3 linked regions of the Macaca mulatta genome follow. The protein of the gene in region 3 binds, or shares a complex with, the protein of the main gene of each other region. Links are inferred from orthologs where the notes say so. Each region holds a gene or a part of one and is shown on either strand. Other genes may lie near its edges. The genes, in order: SKP1, IREB2 and FBXL5.

The links.
Region 1: the proteins of FBXL5 (region 3) and SKP1 are in contact, whole or in part, in a cryo-EM structure (PDB 6VCD), measured with the Homo sapiens proteins. The link is inferred for Macaca mulatta from reciprocal best matches to the Homo sapiens genes FBXL5 and SKP1. Residues at the interface, in NP_036293.1 of Homo sapiens: Ile205, His207, Leu208, Pro209, Val212, Ser215, Ile216, Tyr219, Leu220, Gln223, Glu224, Cys226, Arg227, Cys228, Ser229, Gln230, Val231, Ser232, Met233, Trp235, Ser236, Lys240, Trp245, Arg315, Leu316, Gly319, Leu320, Asn323, Val324, Tyr327; in NP_733779.1 of Homo sapiens: Phe101, Ile104, Leu105, Asn108, Leu116, Asp117, Cys120, Lys121, Val123, Ala124, Ile127, Lys128, Gly129, Lys130, Pro132, Ile135, Arg136, Phe139, Ile141, Asp144, Phe145, Glu149, Val153, Arg154, Glu156, Asn157, Gln158, Trp159, Cys160.
Region 2: the proteins of FBXL5 (region 3) and IREB2 are in contact, whole or in part, in a cryo-EM structure (PDB 6VCD), measured with the Homo sapiens proteins. The link is inferred for Macaca mulatta from reciprocal best matches to the Homo sapiens genes FBXL5 and IREB2. Residues at the interface, in NP_036293.1 of Homo sapiens: Asp656, Glu657, Tyr661, Cys662, Asp663, Asn664, Ile665, His669, Ala670, Asp671, Thr672, Ala673, Ser674, Gly675, Cys676, Gln677, Asn678, Leu679, Gln680, Cys687, Arg688, Ser689, Gly690, Glu691; in NP_004127.2 of Homo sapiens: Asp89, Phe90, Ser129, Asn217, Val220, Glu221, Arg224, Arg228, Ala758, Gly759, Ser760, Arg763, Asn764, Thr777, Pro778, Arg779, Asn782, Ser783, Tyr784, Gly785, Ala786, Arg788.

What each region holds. Positions count from the first base shown.
Region 1 is NC_133411.1:143,076,099-143,080,545, reverse strand, and holds the start of SKP1 (S-phase kinase-associated protein 1), read left to right. Parts: upstream 1-1,623; 5' UTR 1,624-1,723; exon of another isoform or gene 1,724-1,892; intron 1,893-4,447. UniProt on the Homo sapiens protein: Essential component of the SCF (SKP1-CUL1-F-box protein) ubiquitin ligase complex, which mediates the ubiquitination of proteins involved in cell cycle progression, signal transduction and transcription.
Region 2 is NC_133412.1:56,633,816-56,637,463, forward strand, and holds part of IREB2 (iron-responsive element-binding protein 2), read left to right. Parts: intron 1-1,600; coding exon 1,601-1,685; intron 1,686-2,049; coding exon 2,050-2,206; intron 2,207-2,518; coding exon 2,519-2,643; intron 2,644-3,648. UniProt on the Homo sapiens protein: RNA-binding protein that binds to iron-responsive elements (IRES), which are stem-loop structures found in the 5'-UTR of ferritin, and delta aminolevulinic acid synthase mRNAs, and in the 3'-UTR of transferrin receptor mRNA.
Region 3 is NC_133410.1:14,669,392-14,673,039, forward strand, and holds part of FBXL5 (F-box/LRR-repeat protein 5), read right to left. Parts: intron 2,126-3,648; coding exon 2,000-2,125; intron 1-1,999.

The sequences.
Region 1 (4,447 bases), on a different chromosome or scaffold from region 3:
CCCACCTCGGCCTCCCAAAGTGCTGAGATTACAGGTGTGAGCCTCCATGCCCGGCCCCGAAATCTCTTTTAAAAGTAGGCATTTCTTGGTGATTCTAATAAAGGGGGTTCTCAGACATATTTGGAAAAGCATATACCTACTTTTACGCCAGACCCTGTGCTGGGGCCCCAGGCTAGCTGTATGACCTGACACTGCACAGTCCTGCTTAGGATGCTCAAGGAGAGTTTATAAGGTATCACCCTGCATACCATAGGCAGGGGAGCAAAGGGGCTCCAGTGGGCCCTGCCTAGGAGGCCTGAAGCTGGAGCTGCTGAGGGCAGGGCTGTGCTGCTGAGAAAATATCTGAGAGCTGCAGGCGTTTCATCTTCTGTCATCAGCTGTGGCACCTGGCAGACACTGGATACCACAGCTTGTAGACAAAGACCTGGTAACTCAAGAAGCTGCTTGGCATTCCTGCCCAGTCCCATCCCAGAGGCACTGTACGTCTCCGGTTTCTTCAGGGGGCCCTGTGTGGAAGTATCTTTTGTCTTCCTGTGTCAGGGATACCATCACGTGCCTATTGGCTAGACGAGCCCGGCGCCCAGTCTCCTAGGACAGGGAGAATAACGTTCCCGAGCAGAGCGGGGTGGGGCTTTCAGACTACTCCCGTTCCTTTACTGCAGGCTTCATTCCATCGACCTCATCACAGCCTTCCTGGGAGCACCCCAGACAAGAGTTCTGTCCAGGCCGGGCCCTGGCTGCCTGGTTCACTGCCGAATCCCCAGCACCACGCCTCGCATGTCGGGCTCAGAGCATGTTTAGTGAAGGAATGGGTACCTATTGCTAGATGGAAGCCATCTCTCTAGATTTGGGGTTTCCCTACGACGATGGCTATTTTTGGCACGGAAGCCTCTTTAGAAGTCAATAGTAGGAAATAAGGGCTAACGGCACCTAACTGTGGAGTAATGTTCAAATCCTGGCTCTGCCACTTAACCGTTCCGAACCTGTTCCCTCACTGCAGAGGCGAAAAGGCTAACACTATTTCACCTCGGAGGGTTACTGTGGAGAATGGAGGCTGGACAAGCTGTATCAGTTCAGTAGTAAAACACACACACACAAGCGCCCCCCCATCCCCACCCCAGGAATGAACACACACACACCCGCGCGCGCACACACATACACCTCAGGAATGAACACACGCGCGTACACACACACGCAGCCCCTCCCAGGAATGAACACACACACACACGCGCGCGCGCCCCGTTCTGTTGTTCCCAGGAACACACACATAGGCGCACACACGCCCCGTTTTGTTTTTTCCAGGCCGTTTAGCTGGGGTATTTTACTCGGCTTAGGGCGCCCCTGCCTGAAAGACCTTTCTAGGCCAGTCAGGGTTCGGCACCCAGTTGATGAGAGAGCGCGGCGCTTTCAGAGCTAGGGAAAGGCGAAAGCTCTCCCGTTCCCCAACCCCCCGGCCAGCCGCCCCGGCAGCTCCTCGTCGCCTCCCGGCCTGGGCCCGCCCCGCCGTCTTCGGCCTGCCGTCAGGCGATCTCGGCGGCCAGCCCAGCCGCTGTGTGACGCCGCGCGCCCCGGGGTCCTCGGCGCCTGCGCCCTCTCCTATAAAGCAGACGCCGCGCCGCGCCGAGAGGCTGTAGTGGCTTCGTCCTCCGCTTTTCTGTTCCTCCGCTGACGTCTCCTAGCTCTCGTCAGCCTCCCGCCGGCAGTCTCCTTAACACCGAACACCGTGAGTAGCCGCCCACTGAGCTGGAAAGGGTCGTGGCTCCCGGATTGCATGCAGGCTGGCCTCACTGCTGCGGTTTGGGCCTGCCCGCGGCGGGCGGTGACTGGGCCTGGCCTTCTTTCGGGCCCGGTGGATCGTGTTGTCGACCCCGTTCTTCGGGAGACACCATCAGGTCTCGTCCACCCTCTCCGCCCCCGATTCAGCGAGGCCTGCTCTGGCCGCGCGTCCTCACAGCGCTCCATAAGTGTGAGCCGAACCCCGGGCTGGGCTTTCTCTGCACCGGCCGAGCGTCAGCCGGCGCAGGCTCGGCTGCAAGGCCCAGGCTATGGCCGGGGGCCTCTCTTGGCCTTAAGCCTGCTGTCCCGGGGACTAGGGCGGGGGTGGCGGCGGGGTTGTGAATGGGGGTCCCTTGGCTGTCGTGAGCATGGGCGTGTGTCGGTGTCTGGCTTTTGTTGTGGTCGGGAGGGAGAGCTGCGGTGGTGGTCTGAGGCCGCCCGGTTCTTGGCTGCCATCCTTTCTCCCCCGTGTCTGGCGTCACTAGCTACCCGTCGGTCCTGGCTAACTGTGTGCGGGCGCCGAGTTTCTGCACATAGCCGCCTGTTCCTTGTAAATATTTCTTCGCGTTGTTTTGCTATGACTTGGAGTCGTTGAAATAACTATTGTGATAGCAGATACCATCTTCAGAGTGGTGTGACTTGTAAGAGCTGTGTATAACTTAACTCGAAGTGTCTGGCTTTTAAAGAAATAGGATGTCCAGCTGCTTTGGTTCACTTTTAGTGGGAACTTCACGTTTGGGTTTTAGGAACATGCATTTTTCCATTAGAGCGTCACAATAGAATGTATCTGTGTCATAGAACAATAGTCTCCTCCACTGTGCAGTCTAAAAAGCAGTGGCAGAATTTCGGGTCACTTAAAACGCAGGGGTTTTTTTCCCTTTATGATGTGATAGAACCCACTTTATGCTGGCCATGGAGAATTATTTACAAGTGCAGGAGCCTTTAGGCCTCTTTCTTTAGAATGGAATTGTTTTGAAAACATTTCAAATCAAAATTTCATCCATTATTACTTAAAAATTTTGCACTTTATTCTACTGTAACACTAAAACTTATCTTTTAGTTTAGTATTACCAAGTGCATCGAATTACAGATTTAACCGATTACCTACCTGCTATTTAGTAAGATCTCAACTCCCTTAAGAGTAACCCAATCCACGAATTTGACTATGACTAAGCACTTGAGTTATTTGAAAGAAATATGAAACGGTCGTCTTGCTTTTAGAGTAATTTTATCAACTGCATTGTTAGACTTGTGATTCTGCACTGTTCATTTCAGTACTATCTGATATAAAAATTACATGTTTAAATGTTTTATAATTAAAAATTGGACTCACGTTAAAATATTTTCTTTTGGAGATACCTTTTATTGTTGTCTTGTCACAGGAAGGGTCCTCTACTCTGGGTCCTTCTTCATTGAGCAGGGACAACGGCATTATTGGCAAGCGCTAAGCAACATGGAGAAGCAGACATGTTTGTGAATTGCAAAGTGAAATCTGATTCTCTCCAACCATGGATGAGTGAGAGTAGGATATTTCAGTGGCTGGTTTTAAAACACGCTTTACTTTTTTGCTTCCTTTGCCTAAGAACCTGTTTGCTTTGGGGTTGCGGACAATTGTCTCAGAGAAGCTGAATGAATATTTTAACCGATGTAATGGGTCATAAGTCTTTGAACATAAAATGGGTGTGATGCATGTTTTAAATGCCAAATGATACACTTTTGTGAAAATATATGCGATTTTTAATACAACACACCTAGAAAACTTCAGAGGTACCATAAGTTAATAGTGACATCATTGGATTATGAATACTTGAGAAGCATGGGCCTTTTAAAAGTTGTATGTGAATTTTAAGAGGCCTTGAATTAATCTGTACCAGGTATTGCTACTCTTTTTGTTGTTGTTTTTCTTTTATGTATGTTTTCTTTTTTAAAAAAAGAATTTGAAGATGGTAAGAAATTGTTGGACTTTTAATTTTAAATTCCTTTTTTTTTTTTTTTGCCAGAACTCAAGTCCTTTGGAATTAATTGCTTAACTTTTTTTTTTGACACGGAGTCTTGCTCTGCCACCCAGGCTGGAGTACAGCGGCGCGGTCTCGGCTCACTGTAAGCTCTGCTTCCTGGGTTCATGCCATTCTCCTGCCTCAGCCTCCCAAGTAGCTGGGACTACAGGCGCCCGCCACCACGCCCGGCTAATTTTTTGTATTTTTGGTAGAGACGGGGTTTCACCATGTTAGCCAGGATGGTCTCGATCTCCTGACCTCGTGATCCACCTGCCTCGGCCTCCCAAAGTGCTGGGATTATAGGCGTGAGCCACCACGCCTGGCCTAATTGCCTAACTTTTTATGTAAGATTATCTTTTTCCTAGTGACTCATAATTACTCTGAGTTAATAAATGCATTTTCAGAGCAAGTAATAGGTTATTATTATGGAGCTCTTGACAAGAGATCTCAAAGTTGGTCAGTTGGACAGTCAGTACTGAAAGATAAAAAGCGCTCTGAAATGAAGCTTCTTACTAGATTTAGGGAATTGTACTCACATCTGCTTATCTTTAAATCATTTTATTCTTGTGTATATGGTCTTGCATTGCCTCAGACATAAATCAGCATATTCTCATTTACTCTCTGGATCTGAACTTATCTTCACAGGTAGGTCTCACTGTGGGGAAAATTTCTGT
Region 2 (3,648 bases), on a different chromosome or scaffold from region 3:
AGACAAACAAATATAACCAAATAACAGTTACAGTATAAGAAAAGATACCAAGTATGCACAATGTCTGTGAGTTGTGTAGGTCAGTTCAAAAAAGAAAGAAATCTTACAGTTTGCATTTATTAACTGAAAATTGTCATAATTTTAGTTTTATGAGGTTATTGGGTCTATAATACATAAGTTTAAGTTGTCCCTGAACTTTGGAGAAAGTAACTTACGATTTTTGGGCTGGGCGCGGTTGCTCACGCCTGTAATCCCAGCACTTTGGGAGGCCGAGGCAGGTGAATCACGAGGCCAGGAGTTTGAGACCAGCCTGGCCAATATGGTAAAGCTCCGTCTCTACTAAAAATACCAAAATTAGCCAGGCATGGTGATGCACACCTCTAGTCCCAGCTACTCAGGAGGCTGAGGCAGAAAAATTGCTTTAACCCGGGAAGCAGAGGTTGCAGTGAGCCGAGATCATGCCACTGTACTCCAGTCTGGGCAAGAGAGCGAGACTCCATCTCAAAAAAAAAAATTACATACGTTTTTTATGTAATCCAAAACAATTGATGCTAGTTGTGCAGGAATTGTTTGGTTTTGAGACAGTGTCTTGCTCTGTTGCCCACACTGGAGTGCAGTGGTGCAGTCACAGCTCATTGCAGCCTCGACCTCCTAGGCTCAAGCAGTCTTCCTACCTCACCCTCCTGAGTAGCTGGGACCACAGGTGTACACCACCACACCCAGCTAATTTTTATATTTTTAGTAGAAACAGTTTCGCCATGTTGGCCAGGCTTGACTCAACCTCGTTGCCTCAAGTGATCCGCTCATCTCAGATCGGATTACAGGCCTGAGCCACCACATCCAGCCTAGCTGTATTTTCAGTGTCTGTTTTGGAACATATGAGTCATCAGTTCCTTTGCAAAATGGATAAATTTTCGATTTTTTTGCTTTTAGAATAGCATCTGAAAGTAATTTAGAGGACGGTGCCTGTAATCTTTTAGTTGTATCATCTTGGATTTATTGTCAGGGACTCTTCTTGGGTTTAACTGGTTGATAATTAAGAGATTACTCCTATCAGAGTGCCCAGTTACAGTGCCTCTTTTGGGACCTTTGGTCAGGTTATTATAGCCAGGTCCTCTTTACATTTTAAACCCTTGGATGGAAGTACAGAATCAATTATTTTAAAAGGTCATGTTATATTCCTAGCAAGTAGTATTTGGGGGAATTATCTTGTGCATTGATAAGTGCTGTTAAGGCTCTTCAAAGATTTGCATTCAGCTTTGAGACCCGCCTGAGCATTTTTATTTTTTATTTTACAAAAAAAGTAGCTGGGCCTGGTGGCGAGCGCCTGTGGCCCCAGCTACTCAGGAGGCTGAGGAGCAGAATTGCTTGAGCCCAGGAGGTTAAGGCTGCAGTGAATTTGTTCAAATAGCATGCCTGAGAGTTAGACTTGATTGCTCAGAATGTTGTGAAGTGAATATATTGATGAAGGTTAATCCATGTGTCATGAATAGTCTTTTAAGTAATCTTATTACAGGGATAGAAATACAAGATAAGACTTATCTTTTCTCTATAAATATTGTGATGTGCTATTCAGTCACATTTATTTTTTGAAATGCAGATTTGAAATCGTTGGTTATGGATGTTCAACTTGTGTGGGAAATACAGCCCCCTTATCAGAAGCAGTTTTAAATGCGGTAAAACAGGTAAAATGTGTGGATCGGCAAGCCATCTAAATGGTTTTCTTAACTATGTTTTGTTATTAAATTATAGAAAATATATATTGATGTGTTTATATTTCTGTAAACTCTGCACCTCTTGGCAGTTGCAACCTGTGAATGTTTAAATGATTGAAAGACTCATTTGTAGATCCTTGAAATAATTCCTTCATAATATAAGGAATTGATTTAGTTTATTCGCAAGATGGATAGTTCTGTATTTAAAAGTTAGTAATATGTTTTTTGGTTAATCTCGCCCTCAGACTTTAAGATTGGTTATATATGATTATCCAAATTTGTACCATCTCTAGAATTGAATATGTATGTTTGTGTGTTTGTGTTTTTTTTCCAGGGTGATTTGGTTACCTGTGGAATTTTATCTGGAAACAAAAATTTTGAAGGTCGTCTTTGTGATTGTGTTCGTGCCAATTATCTTGCCTCTCCACCGTTAGTGGTAGCTTATGCCATAGCAGGCACAGTGAATATAGATTTCCAGACAGAACCTTTAGGTATCTTTTCCTTTATGTATATGTATACCTATACATATGTTTCCCCATAGAAGTCATTATATTTTTGAAATGTTTCTTAGACCATCTATTCTTTGAATTATTTCAGGAAAACTTATGATAATGTATAGTTATTAATTTCTGTGTTTATGTGAAGAAAATAAAATGTGCAGGTAATTAGTTCTTCCAGCCGCTTAAGCCTGAAGCACCCAGTTGAATCATTTACTTGATGTCCATAATATGTCTTTGAAAAGGTATGAACATTTTCAGAGAGTTATTTTTTTACTGAGTGTCATGTTCAAAAATTTTAACCAGGTACTGACTCCACCGGCAAGAACATTTACCTGCATGATATTTGGCCTAGTCGAGAAGAAGTTCATCGAGTAGAGGAAGAACATGTTATACTATCCATGTTTAAAGCATTAAAAGATAAAATAGAAGTAAGAGTCTTATGTGTTTCTTAAATAGTTTAATCAATTTGCAGTGTTCTTTTATTTCATATATCTTGTTTTCTGACTAGAATAAAAATTAAAATTACGTTATTTTGAATGCGGTTTTCAATGTGTAATAGTTTGTATCTGGAATCTATAATTAAAAAGCAAATGGCGGCTGGACACAGTGGCTCACGTCTGTAATCCCAGCACTTTGGGAGGCCAAGGCAGGTGGATCACCTGAGGTCAGGAGCTCAAGACCAGCCTGACCAACATGGAGAAACCCCATCTCCACTAAAAATACAAAAAAATTAGCCAGGTGTGGTGGCACATGCCTGTAATCCCAGCTATTCAGGAGGCTGAGGCAGGAGAATCGCTTGAACCCGGGAGGCAGAGGTTGCGGTGATCCGAAATCGTGCCATTGCACTACAACCTGGGCAACAAGAGCAAAGCTCCATCTCAAAAAAAAAAGGAAAGAAAATGTCTTAGAGTATCAGAATTGATTAGTGTTGATTGGATGATCCGTGCAGCAAACCATCGTGGCACACATTTACCTGTGTAACAAACCTGCATATCCTGCATATGTACCCCAGAAGTTAAAATAAAAGTTGAGGGGGAAAAGAAAGAATTGATTAGGTGTTCAGAATACATCAGTGAACAAAACCCAGAATTCTCCTGGGGAGAGGCAAATAAGCTGTAAAGAGAATAGTTATATAAATTATGCAATTTTAAAAAATTATTATTTATTTTTTGGTGTTTCTTGGGAGATGGCGCCCCACTCTGTCACCCAGGCTGGAGTGCAGTGGCCTGAACCAGCTCACTGCAGCCTTAACCTCCTGGACTCAAACAATCCTGCTCCTCAGCCTCCCGAGTAACTGGGGCCACAGGCGCTCAGGCCCAGCTAATTTTTTTATTTTTTGTAAAATAAAAAATAAAGATGCTCAGGCTGGTCTCAAACTCCTGGACTGAAGTGATCCACCCACCTCAGCCTCCCAAAGTGTTGGGATTACAGGT
Region 3 (3,648 bases):
TTTAGATAGTATCCTAAATTCGTCCTTTAGCCAGACACAGACACACACAAACACACACACACGAAGATAAAATATAAGGAAATAAAAATTACTTTGGCCCTCACTATCTAAAGGTACACTATTTATTATGAAATTTTTAAATTTTTAATTTTTTATTGATATACAATAATTATACATATTTTGGGGGTACATGTGATACTTTGATACCTGTATACAATGTGTGATGATCAAATCAAGGTAATTGGAACTGTGAAATCTTTTTTAAGAAAGTTAAACATTCTATGAAAAACAATAACTTCTTAGGACAAGTAAAGACAAGGCAGCTAAACTGAAAAAAGCACTGAAGTAAATAGCAGTTTAGTCTTTAATAATCAACAGATACATTATCTAAAAAGGCTCAATCTTTATACCCTTAACTTTTCCTTTTCGGTATCAAGGAAATTGACAGTCTTTGCTCCATCTTCAAGTATTGAGACAAATATACTGAATTTGTTAGAACCTTCAAAATTCTTACCACAAGTATTATGAATTAATTTTCCAGAATGAATAAACTGAGACTTCCTTAAGTTGACATCTAAGCAAATACCTCATTTCCTTCAGGTCTTTACTCAAATTTCTCAAAGGACTTTAACTAATCACTCAATTTAAAACTACAATTTTAAATTCTTCTTGGCATGTTTTCCTTGTTTTATTTTTCTCCACAACACTTGTCACCATCTAATACGGAACATATTTTACCTGTATTTATCGTCTGCCTCCTGTCTCTAAATTTTAAGCTCAACAAGGGCCAGTTTTTTCTTTTTTTTTCCATTTTGTTCACCATTAGATCCTTCATACCTAAAACAATGCCTGCCACAGGTAAGCACATCACCAAATCTATCATAACTAGAATAGACCTTTTCCTTATATATGACATTTTGAATCTTTTTATCAAAATGTAGCGCATCTGCTTTTCATAAAAATAAACTACTTTAGCTGCTGATATAACAATCTTTATACTTGCACTGTTACTTTCCATGTTTCTTTTTTCCACATTTAGTTCTTTTGCCAGATCAAACTACTTTAAGCAGGTAACTTTATAAAAAGTTCCTATAGTTTCAGTTTTACCAACTAGAAGAATGTCTCATCTGTTCATTTTTTACTATTTTACCATCTTTTAGTAAGTATTATCTAGAATATCCAAGACAGAATTTGTCGTCCTCCTCACACTTTCAAACAGCATCTCTCTGCACAAGTATGACAGCATTTTTCCAACATGTACCTTAAAGTAAAAATTATGTTTTCTTGGCACAAGTATACATATGTAACAAACCTGTACATTATGCACATGTACCCTAGAACTTAAAGTATAATAATAATAAAAAATAAATTTAAAAAAAAAAATTATGTTTTCTAAATTCTCTCTCGTTTGTGAATTCTTTGGAGTGGCGATTAAGTCTTATCCACCCTTGAACTCTCCCACAGTGTTTAATGAATGGCTACATTAGTTTTTGTAATCCCTTACCATTTACAAAGAATATTTATGTATATTACCTCTTAATTCTACAATAACCTCATTAGGCAAATATTAAGACTATTTACAAATGAGTAAGTCAACTTAACAGTTTCATCCTATTTCCCTCAAGCCACATATGACTCAATAGATGCTGTACAACTGATCATCTGAAGTGGCGCTAAAATCACATTGTAAACTATAAAGCACTATAATAAACATACGTTATTTCCATAAGAAAAAATGGTACCATTTTCTGGTTTTTTATTTTAATATAAAAACAAGAGAAATAATCCTATGCACTCTTTAAAGTACTTCAAACAATTAATTTAAAATGTTATTATTATTCCTTCAAATTTTAAAAAGTAGTAGGCGTAGAAACACGTTTCTTTAGAAAATACAAACTACATAAATCTAATACCTAATTATTAGTACTTATTAATTATAAGTACTTAATATATAATTATTAAAACACTATGTAATAATTTTAATTTCAAACAAGCTTACCAGATTCATCTATGTCAGCATCTTCATCCCACTCATGAAAAGCACGACTTTCATCTTTCCTATTTTTCACCCATTCTTCATCAGGTTCAGTATCAAGTTCAGTTGCGGGACCACTATACCAGTCACCTACACGATGAATAAACAAGTAAAAGGATCAAAATAATATCAGATTGCCTGCAATAATGGAAAACTAAGCTATTTACAATAAAAATCTCTACATAGAGACAACATCTGAGCCCTAGGCAATAAGCAGTTTTTTTTTTTAATACTTTAAGTTCTACAGCACATGTGCACAACATGCAGGTTTGTTACATAGGTATATATGTGCCATGCTAGTTTGCTGCACCCATCAACTCATCATTTACATTACGTATTTCTCTTAATGCTATCCCTCCCCCAGCCCCCCACCCCCCGACAGGACCCAGTGCGTGACGTTCCCCGCCCTGTGTCCAAGTGTTCTCTTTGTTCAATTCCCACCTATGAGTGAGAACATGCACCGTTTGGTTTCCTGTCCTTGTGATAGTTTGCTAAGACTGATGGTTTCCAGCTTCATCCATGTCCCTGCAAAGAATATGAACTCATCCTTTTCTATGGCTGCACAGTATTCCATGGTGTATGTGTGCCACATTTTATTAATTCAGTATATCACTGACGGACATTTGGATTGGTTCCAAGTCTTTGCTATTGTGAATAGGGCCACAATAAACATATGTGTGCATGTGTCTTTATAGTAGCATGACTTATAATCCCTTGGGTATATACCCAGTAATGGGATCGCTGGGTCAAATGGTATTTCTAGTTCTAGACCCTTGAGGAATCACCATACTGTCTTCCACAATGGTTGAACTAATTTACACTCCCACCAACAGTGTAAAAGCGTTCCTATTTCTCCACATCCTCTCCAGCATCTGTTGTTTCCTGACTTTTTAAGGATTGCCATTCTAACTGGTGTGAAATGGTATCTCCTTGTGGTTTTGATTTGCATTTCTCTGATGACCAGTGATGATGAGCATTTTCTCATGTGTCTGTTGGCTGCATAAATGTCTTCTCTTGAGAACTGTCTGTTCATATCCTTTGCCGACTTTTTGACGGGGTTTTTTCTTGTACATTTGTTTAAGTTCTTTGTAGATTCTGGATATTAGCCCTTTGTCAGATGGGTAGATGGCAAAAATTTTCTCCCATTCTGTAGGTTGCCTGTTCACTCTGATGGTAGTTTCTTTTGCTGTGCAGAAGCTCTTTAGTTTAATGAGATCCCATTTGTCAATTTTGGCTTTTGTTGCCATTGCTTTCGGTGTTTTAGACATGAAGTCCTTGCCCATGCCTATGTCCTGAATGGTACTGCCTAGGTTTTCTTCTAGGGTTTTTACGGTTTTAGGTCTAACATCTAAATCTTTAATCCATCTTGAATTAATTTTTGCATAAGGTGTAAGGAAGGGGGGATCCAGTTTCAGCTTTCTACATATGGCTAGCCAGTTTTCCCAGCACCATTTATTAAATAGGGAATCCTTTCCCTATTTCTTGTTTTTCTCAGGTTTGTCAAAGATCAGATGGTTGTAGATGTGTGGTGTCATTTCTGAGGCCTCTGTTCTGTTCCATTGGTCTATATCTCTGTTTTGGTACCAGTACCATGCTGTTTTGGTTACTGTAGC